Linked DNA regions of Macaca fascicularis. Each later gene encodes a partner of the first gene's protein in a complex. Links are inferred from orthologs where the notes say so. Each region holds a gene or a part of one and is shown on either strand. Other genes may lie near its edges. The genes, in order: CDK6 and CDKN2A.

What was found.
Region 2: the proteins of CDK6 (region 1) and CDKN2A are in contact, whole or in part, in a crystal structure (PDB 1BI7), measured with the Homo sapiens proteins. The link is inferred for Macaca fascicularis from reciprocal best matches to the Homo sapiens genes CDK6 and CDKN2A. Residues at the interface, in NP_001138778.1 of Homo sapiens: Glu14, Cys15, Val16, Ala17, Glu18, Ile19, Phe28, Lys29, Arg31, Leu33, Asn35, Gly36, Gly37, Arg38, Phe39, Arg44, His100, Asp102, Gln103, Asp104, Thr106, Thr107, Asp110, Lys111, Gln149, Thr154, Ser155, Leu166, Ala167, Arg168; in NP_000068.1 of Homo sapiens: Thr18, Ala21, Arg22, Gly23, Arg24, Glu27, Asn42, Tyr44, Arg46, Gln50, Val51, Met52, Met53, Met54, Gly55, Ser56, Arg58, Asp74, Ala76, Thr77, Thr79, Asp84, Arg87, Glu88, Gly89, Phe90, Asp92, Asp108, Trp110, His123.

Annotation. Positions count from the first base shown.
Region 1 is NC_088377.1:128,509,846-128,514,438, forward strand, and holds the start of CDK6 (cyclin-dependent kinase 6), read left to right. Parts: upstream 1-1,502; 5' UTR 1,503-1,594; intron 1,595-4,139; exon of another isoform or gene 4,140-4,379; 5' UTR 4,380-4,593. UniProt on the Homo sapiens protein: Serine/threonine-protein kinase involved in the control of the cell cycle and differentiation; promotes G1/S transition. Phosphorylates pRB/RB1 and NPM1.
Region 2 is NC_088389.1:76,950,031-76,954,619, forward strand, and holds the start of CDKN2A (cyclin-dependent kinase inhibitor 2A), read left to right. Parts: upstream 1-1,772; 5' UTR 1,773-1,796; coding exon 1,797-1,922; intron 1,923-4,589. UniProt on the Homo sapiens protein: Acts as a negative regulator of the proliferation of normal cells by interacting strongly with CDK4 and CDK6. This inhibits their ability to interact with cyclins D and to phosphorylate the retinoblastoma protein.

The DNA.
Region 1 (4,593 bases):
GCATCAATTTTTTATTTCCCTAGCCTTACCTTATACTATAATATAGAATCAATTTTATAAAGGCAAAAATTTGATTTACTATGAGATCAGTAACATGGTTTTAAAGTCAAAAGATTTATAGAAGTAGTATGTCCAATTCAAACAGAATTTTGCCGGGTTTTAATTTTTCTACAAAGCACTGAAGTAAATAATTTTGTGAAAAGTTTTTCTTTAATATGTTTTAAAGGGTTTCAAGTATTCTACAGATAGAGATTTTGGGGAGAACACCAAATTCTTTCCAAAAAGACAGCTATTTCAAGTTTTCTTTTACTCCATTGTAGAAGGTTTTAAAGACTTTTTTTCTCCAAAAGCTCATTTTCACCTGAAATAATTGTATTCAAGGGTTTCTCAGCAGGTAAAGTATACATTCTTACAAGGTTTCAAATTTCAGATTTCCAATAATGCATTTAAACTGAGCACTCCTCTTTCTGTGTATGTATCTATTGTCTGCAGTTCTATTATTTACACTAAATTTTAGTCCTTTTAGCTCCTCTGAAATACGTTAGTGAACCCTCAGCAGTTACTAACCACTTAATAATTGTGAACCCGCCAGCCCCTTCAAGTAGATCGTTAACCATAAGAGTGCCTGACAATTTCCAAACCATACCCTCTGTCTAAAAGGAAAAGATAGGGCTTTGTGAGGCAGAAAGGAAGCGAAGGAAAACAAAACAAATGTAGCTCATGCTGAAAGTGAAAAGTGCTTGAACAGATTAGTATTTTCTTTTCTGCAAGGCATCCTGCCAAACTTTTTCTTTATTTTTTTAAGAGAAGAGTTATTTTTTGGTCTGATTTTTCAGTTTCTTGGAAAGTATTGGTATTTACCACCCCCATCGGCCCTTCATAATTATTGTTAGTTGTTTTGTGTTTTTCCCATCCGTCCACGTCACACAGTGAGGATACCCCCTGCTTCACCCTGTCAAAACCCCAACTCTGGGCGACCCTGGGTTTGGAAACTCCGCCGACTCCCGACGACACGTCCCACTCTCTCCCACTAACGCCGCTTATTTTAGTCGCAGGATCCCCCTACTACAGTTTCAGTGAAAGCCGGAAATTTTCATTTAACTCCCCTGCCCCCCCAACCCCCCCGCCCCGCGCCTTTCTAGCCCCCGACTCGTAGAAGGGAGCTAGGGAGCCCGGAGCTCGGAGCACTGCCGGGGCTTGGCCGCCTCCTTTCTCTCCGGAAGGCTTTAATTTGCACACTTTCTTGCCACTGCGCCACGAGCCCCCAGCCTCGCCGCTGGGTGGGTCTCCGGCAGAGTTGGCTTCTCGGGTCCCTGCCCCCACCCCGCGCGGTCGCCCCCGCTGCCTCCCTGGCTGGGGCCCCCAGCGCCGGCCAGAGCCCCGCGGCCCCCGTCCGCCCCCAGCTAGCGGCGCGGGCGGCGCCCTCCGCCTTCCCTCCGCCCTCCGCCGCTGTGCCCACCCCCTCGCCGGAGAGAGTGCTGGTAACTCCTTCCCCAGAGTCTGATTACCTGCTCCGCGAGGCCGCGGACACGTGCGGAGAGCCGACTGACACTCGCAGCCCCCTCAGGAGGCCCGACGCGACTGGGCCCCTCAGGTGAGGAGCTGTGCGCTCGGGTGGGTGGGCTGCGGGGTGGGGGGTCCCTGGGGAGATATGGGGGATTGGCCGGGGTCCGAGGCAGAACTGTGGGTGGGGTAAGTGGAGGCTGGCGGGGGGTGGGGGGGACCTGTGTTTCCCTGGAATCGGCTTTGGTTAACCCCTTACGAACTGAGACGGCGTTGGTTATGGGGGCCAGTTTTGGGGAGCTAGAGGATTCTAATCTGACGAGAGGGGGAGATCCTACGCTAGGGACACCCGCGACACCGAGATCCTGCTTCCACGTACCCGTGCGCACACACACTCACACAGAACACTCCTCATCCAGTTTCTCCAAACGGAACTGGAACTTTACTCGGACATTCACATAATAATTCACATTTAGGGTTCAAAATGCACTGCCTCTAGGGACTCCATGCTGGAGAATGTGCTTGCATTTCCCCCACGAAAACTCCCTCGCCAGCTCGCTGAGGTGTGGGTGTGGGCTCCACCTTCCCCTCCACGAGATAAATGTTAACGCAGGCTTCCTGCGGGCGTGTTATGCACAGAAGAGTGCACGCAGCCGGCCGGTGCCCAGGCTTGGAGCCCCACGAAGACGCACGTTTGCTTTAGTTTCCAAGTTTACTTTTATCATTTAAAATATTGGAGTTAAACACACGCCCCGTGGTGAGCAGCCCTTGTCCCCGCAGGGCGCCCGTCCGTGTGCATATGGGCGCATCTGCGTGTGCGCACACGCGGGAGTCGCGGTCCCCGGTGTGGCCTCTTGTTGCCGTGCTGGTGGCGACCCTTGTGGTGCTTGGCAGGCTTCGGGAGAGGCGCATGAAGGATTTCATTGAGTGTGAAGACAGAGAGCAGAGACAGAAAGCAGAAGGAGGCGGCTGCAGCCTTTGTAGTCGCGGAGGAATGCGGAAATGTTGAAGCACTATGTCAAACTTTTTTTGAAATGGGGTCAAGTCACATTCAGCCAGCGTGGGAAAGCAACAACAACAACAAAAAAAAAGTGGAGGAGAGGGGGGGAAAAGGCATTGCTGCTCCCGTTTCTCTCCGCCGAAGCCGACCGTCTGGGGGGCGAGTGGGGGGAGAGTCAGGGTAGTGCGGGGCCCGGCGGGGGCAGCAGGCGAAGTTCCCTGCGGGGGTGGGACGTCCCCGACGCTTCCTTCGCTGCGGAGCCCGGGGCTAGACTCGAGCGGGAGGGGGATGGGGGGACGCAGGAGAGGCGGGTTGGGCGGCCGGCGGCGGCTCCCCGGCTACCTGTGTGGCCCTCGACCTGGCTCAGACGCCCGGGCAGTCCTTGGGGGCTCTTTCCTCGGCTTTTAAGGAAAGTTCTGAATGGAGTGAGTGCCAGAAGCTCTGCTTTCGCCGCGGTCCGCTCCACGCGCTCATCGTGGGGGTCGCGCCGTTTGTTTAATTCCTGGCAAAAGGCGAGCGGGGCAGCGGTTGCGAGGCAGGTAATTCCGAGGTGCCCCGGGAATTCCGGACACGCGGCCAGCGTGGTGAAAGTCCTGCCGAGGCCGCGGCGGCCGTGGGGGAGGGAGGCTCCCTAGGTCCCAGATAGCTGCTGAATGGGGAGGGAAAGTTAGGGTACCCTTCTCCGGCGCTTTGTTATGCAGAGGGCTCCGGGGGCGTCCGGCTGCAGCCTGGACCCGGCCTTTAGCCGGAGAGGGAATGGGGCAGCCACCTCCGCTACCTACAGCGGGGTGGTCCTGGGAGTGGGAAAAGGTTCGCGAGTCCGGGCCCCGAGGGCAGAGACCTTGTTTCTCACCCCTGGAGGCGCAGGGTTTAACCCCCCACCCCCCACCCTTTGAAAGAGAGGTTGAGTTTTGCTCAGGTCGAAATCAATTTAAAACTTCAGGACGAGGCGCGATTAAGCTATCCTCTTCCTGAAATTATTCTTTAAGAAGACGACAAGCGAAATTGTGACGAACACCCCTTTCTCCCACCCTTGGGATCCCGTGGGGGACAGTGTCTCCCCTCCCCCAGGACCTCTCGTTCGCCCACCCCCGATTAGCCCCAACCCTCCCCGACCAGATGGCTGGTCTTCCCAAGGTTTCCACCAGGGAGGTCCTCCCAGTCGGAGAGAGAATTCCGTTTCCAACCGAGACTCCTTTACCCCAAAGAGACCATTTGTGTATGCGAGTCGTTTTTAAATGTCTCCTCGTAGAAAAACTGAAAGTAGAAAGAAAGGAAGCAATTTCTGAGCAGATGTCTGACCACCCCTTCTCGCACACTCACAGCATCGGGTTACAGGGTCCTGGGAGCCCCCACCCACATTCTGCGGCCCCACACGGATGGACCCACAGTCCTTCCGCTCCAGCTTGTGCGCGACCCTTGAACGCCCTCCGGCACCCCTGGACCCCATCTCCCTGCACGTCCGGGCCTCAGGAGGCGGGGAGGGTAGCGACGCAACACAATGATATAGGGATAAATATTAAGCCGTGACATTGACGTGCCCGGCGCCTCCCCTCCCCCGCGCTCCCGGCACACTCTGGGCTGCTCGGCACGCCCCCTCCCGTTCCACTGCGTCCCGCGCCGCTCGCTCATCCCCGAGGGGCCCCTGCAACCTCTCCGCGCGAAGACGGCTTCAGCCCTGCAGGGAAAGAAAAGTAACTTCGCTTTTCTCGGAGGAACCAGGAAGGATTAAGCGGCTTGGGAGAGGGCAGGAGCGCGCGGAGGGTAGCGATGGAGGCTTCGTAAAGGAGGAGGAGGGGAGTCTGGAGGAACCCCGAGGAAGGCTTCTGGGCTGTCTGATTGCACTTTCTTCTTATCCTCCCGTCTCCTCCTTTAGGTGCAATGATTCTGGACTGAGACGCCCTTGGGCAGAGGCTATGTAATCGTCTCTGTCTGTGCTGAGGACTTCGCTTCGGGGAGGGAAGAGGAGGGATCGGCTCGCTTCTCAGGCGGCGGCAGCAGCGACTCTGCAGGCGGAGTTTCGCGGCGGCGGCACCAGAGTTACGCCAGCCCCGCGGGGAGGTCGCTCCATCCAGCCTCCGCAGCCGCGA
Region 2 (4,589 bases), on another chromosome or scaffold:
CTCCTACATCAGCCTCCCAGTAGCTGGGATCACAGGCATGAACCACCAAGCCCAGCTAATTTTGTATTTTTTAGTAGAGACAGGGTTTCGCCATATTGGTCAGGATTGTCTCGAACTCCTGACCTCAGGTGATCCTCCTGTCTCAGTCTCCCAGAATGCTGGGATTATAGGCGTGAGCCACCGCGTCCAGCCTTTCCTTTTATATAATAGTGATAATTCTATCCAAAGCTTTTTTTTTTTTTGAATCGGAGTCTCATTCTGTCACCCAGGCTGGAAGGCGGTGGCGCGATCTCGGCTCACGGCAACCTCTACCTCCTGGGTTCCAGCGATTCTCCTGCCTCAGCCTCCTGAGTAGCTGGAATTACACACGTGCACCACCACGCCCGGCTAAGTTTTGTATTTTTAGTACAGACGGCCAAAGCTGGCCTCGAACTCCTGACCTCAGGTATCTGCCCGCCTCAACTTCCCAAAGTGCTGGGATTACAGGCGTGAACCACCGCGTCCGGCTCCAAAGCATTTTCTTTCTATGCCTCAAAACAAGAGTGCAAGCCAATCCTCAAAACGGATAATTCAAGAGCTAACAGGTATTAGTTTAGGATGTGTGGCAGTGTTCTTAACTCTTATATGTATTAATATACAACAATTCATTTAAACTCACAACACCCCTGTAAAGCAGGGGGTACCCATATTCCCTTCTCCCTTTATAACTAAGAAAAATGCAAAGTATTTTCAGTAGGAAAGAGAAATGTGAGGAGTGTGTAGGAGACAGGACAATGTGTAAAGCGGGTCTTTGGATCACTGTGCAACTCTGCCTCTAGAACACTGAGCACTTTTTCTGGTCTAGGAATTATGACTTTGAGAATGTAGTCCGTCCTTCCAATGACTCCATCTCCATTTTCCTATCTGCCTACAGGCAGAAATCTCCCCCGTATTAAATAAACCTCATCTTTTCAGAGTCTGCTGTTATACCAGGCAATGTACACGTCTGAGAAACCCTTGCCCCAGACAGCCATTTTACACGTAGGAGGGGAAGGGGTGGAGAAGGAGAGGGTAGGCCAACTCTCCAAAAGGAATCCTTTGAACTAGGATTTCTGACTTAGTGAACCCCGCGCTCTCGAAAATCAAGGGTTGAGGGGGTAGGGGGACACTTTCTAGTCGTACAGGTGATTTCGATTCTCGGTGGGGCTCTCACAACTAGGAAGGAACAGTTTTGCTTTTTCTTATGATTAAAAGAAGAAGCTATACTTTCCCTATGACACCAAACACCCCGATTCAATTTGGCAGTTAGGAAGGTTGTACCGCGCAGGAAGGAAACGGGGCGGGGGGCGGGGGGATTTCTTTTTTTCTTTTTAACTGAGTGAACGCACTCGAACGCGCCTTTGCTGGCAGGCGGGGGAGCGCGGCTGGGAGCAGGGAGGCCGGAGGGCGGTGTTGGGGGCAGGTGAGGAGGAGGAGCCCAGTCCTCCTTCCTTGCCAACGCTGGCTCTGGCGGGGGCTGCTTCCGGCTGGTGCCCCCGGGGGAGGCCCACCCTGGGGCGACTTCAGGGGTGCCACATTCTCTACGTGCTCGGAGTTAATAGCACCTCCTCCAAGCACTCGCGAACGGCGCCCCCCTGCCTGGAAAGATACCGCGATCCCTCCAGAGGAGTTGAGGGGGACAGAGGCCGAGGGGGCTCTTCCGCCAGCACCGGAGGAACAAAGAGGAGGGGCTGGCTGGTCACCAGAGGGTGGGGCGGCCGCGTGCACTTGGCCGCTGCGGAGAGTGGGAGAGCAGGGAGCGAGCAGCCGGGAGCAGCATGGAGCCTTCGGCGGACTGGCTGGCCACGGCTGCGGCCCGGGGTCGGGTAGAGGAGGTGCGGGCGCTGCTCGAGGCGGGGGCGCTGCCCAACGCACCGAATAGTTACGGTCGGAGGCCGATCCAGGTGGGTGGAGGGTCTGCAGCGGGAGCAGGGGATGGCGGGCGACTCTGGAGGACGAAGTTTGCAGGGGAGTCGGAATCAGGTAGCGCTTTGAGTCTGGAAAAAAGGGCTTCCTGGGGAGTTTTCAGAAGGGGTTTGTAATCACAGACCTCCTGCTGGCGAAGCCCTGGGTGCTTGCGAAGCCAAGGAAGGAATGAGGAGGCACGCGCGTGCCGATCTCTCGAATGCTGTGAAGATCTGAAGGGGGGAACATATTTGTATTAGATGGAAGTATGCTCTATCAGATACAAAACTTACGAAGGTTTGAGATAAAACGGGAGTCTTAAAGAAATGTAAGATGTGCTGGGACTACTTAGCCCCCAATTCACAGATGCCTGGATGGAGTTTATCTTTCTTACTAGTAGGGATTATCAGTGGAAATCTGTGCTGTATGTTGGAATAAATATCGAATATAAATTTCTGATCGAAATTATTCAGAAGCTGCCGGGCGCAGTGCCTCACGCCTTATAATCCCATCACTTTGGGAGCTCAAGGAGCGGGGGGATCACCTAAGAGTTCGAGACCAGCCTGGCCAACAGGTGAAACCCCGCCTCTACTAAAAATACAAAACTTAGCCGGGGGGTGGTGGCAGGCGCCTGTAATCCCAGCTACTCGGGAGGTTGAGGCAGGAGAATCGCTTGAACCCGGGAGGCTGAGGTTGCAGTGAACAGCGAGAGGGAGCCACTTCACTCCAGCCTGGGTGACAGAGTGAGACTGTCGAAAGAAAGAAAGAGAGGGAGATTAAAAAAAAAAAAGCATTCAGAAGCAACTACATATTGTGTTTATTTTTAACTGAGTAGGGCAAATAAATACATGTTTGCTGTAGGAACTTAGGAAATAATGAGCTACATTCATGTGATCGTGCCAGAAGTAATATGTAGTCACCATTTTGGGAATATCTGCTAATATTTTTACTGTTTTGCTATCTTTAGCTTACTTGATAATAGTTTATTTTGTGATAGAGTTTTCAATTCCTCATTTTTGAACAGTGGTGTTTCTCCTCTCCCTACTCCGGTTTTGTGAGGGAGTTAGGGGATGATTTAAAAGTAATTAATGCATGGGTAACTTAGCATCTCTAAAATTTTGCCAACAGCTTGGACCCGGGAATTTGGCTTTGTAGTCCTAAAACATCTTAGAAGAGACCTTATTTGTTTAAAAACAAAAAGGAAAAAGAAAAGTGGATAGTTTTGACAATTTTTAATGGGGAAGGGAGAAGAACATGTAGAAAAGGGGAAGTGTTGTTGGCTTAGAATCCTAACTACACTGGTGTTTAATATAGGAACACTTATTTGTATAATATTTTTAAATGCTAAATTCATATCAATTTATTATCAAATGGGTTTAAGCATCCTACACATTTTAATTCAATGAATTCATTTTCTTTTTGCTTTGGATTTATATCATGATTTAAATATTTACATATGGGTTACTTTTTAGGTTTTTCATTCTATGAAATATAATAAAAACCTTTAAGGCTAGTTTTATGACCAAGACAAAGAGAACTTCAGTGAACACACGGAACAATAAATATGCTGCAACATTTTGTCTTTCTTTTTGTAGCTGCAATTTGGTTTGCTTATACTTTCTCTTTGTCTCTTTGAAAACTAAGTCAGTTTCACTTTCTCAGGACAGCATTTAATAACCATAATATAATTTAGTATAATTCCTTGATTTAGGCAAATTATGCAATTTGTGTTTAGTATGAAATGTACCTAAAAATAAGTAATTCCTCTTTAACACAACCATCCTCAAGCTAATATAACAAATAACAGTTATCCTAAAATAAATTGTTTATTTCCACCATGCAACACTCAAATTTTAAGGTTGCTATGACTGGAGACAGTATTTTAAAATTCCTCTCTGGAAATGGCTTTGTTTCCAAGATGATTTAGGAACCAAAAAGGTGACCATCTCTTGTTTAATGAACTCTCAAATCATAAACCTGGGAAGCCTTTTCGTTTCCTATTGCTGCTGTTACAAATTACCACAAATGTGTTAGCTAAAACAAACAAAATTATTATTTTACAGTACAGTTCTAGAGATCAGAAGTCAAAAATGGGTCCACTTTGGGAAACTCTAAGGGACAATCTGTTTCCTTGTCTTTTCCAGCTTCTAGTGACCATCAAATTCCTTGGCTCATATTCCCTGTATTTTCTCTGTGGCCTGTGCTTCCATTCTTTTATCTTCTCTCTGACTGTGACCCTCTAATAAAAACACTTGGGGTTCTATTGAGCCCACCCTGAAAATTCTGGATAATCTCCCTCAAGACCATTACTTAAATCACATCTGCAAAGCCTCTTTTGCTACATAAGTTAATAAATTAACAGTTTCTGAGGATCAGGACATAGACATTTGTGGGGGGGGACCTTATTCAACCTACCACAGGAAGGAATTTTAGGGCTAGTCTAGCATTCTTATTTTATACTTGAAGAAATTGAATTTTTGGAATTGGAGAGCATTATGCTAAATGAAATAAGCCAAACACAGAAAGACAAATATCACATGTTCTCACTTATCTGTGAAATATAAAACAAATACATTCTTAGCAGTAAAGAGTAGAATGGTGGTTGCTGGAGCTGGGGAGGGGGGCAGTGGGAGGAATGGGGAGTGGTAATCAAGATACAAAGCCTC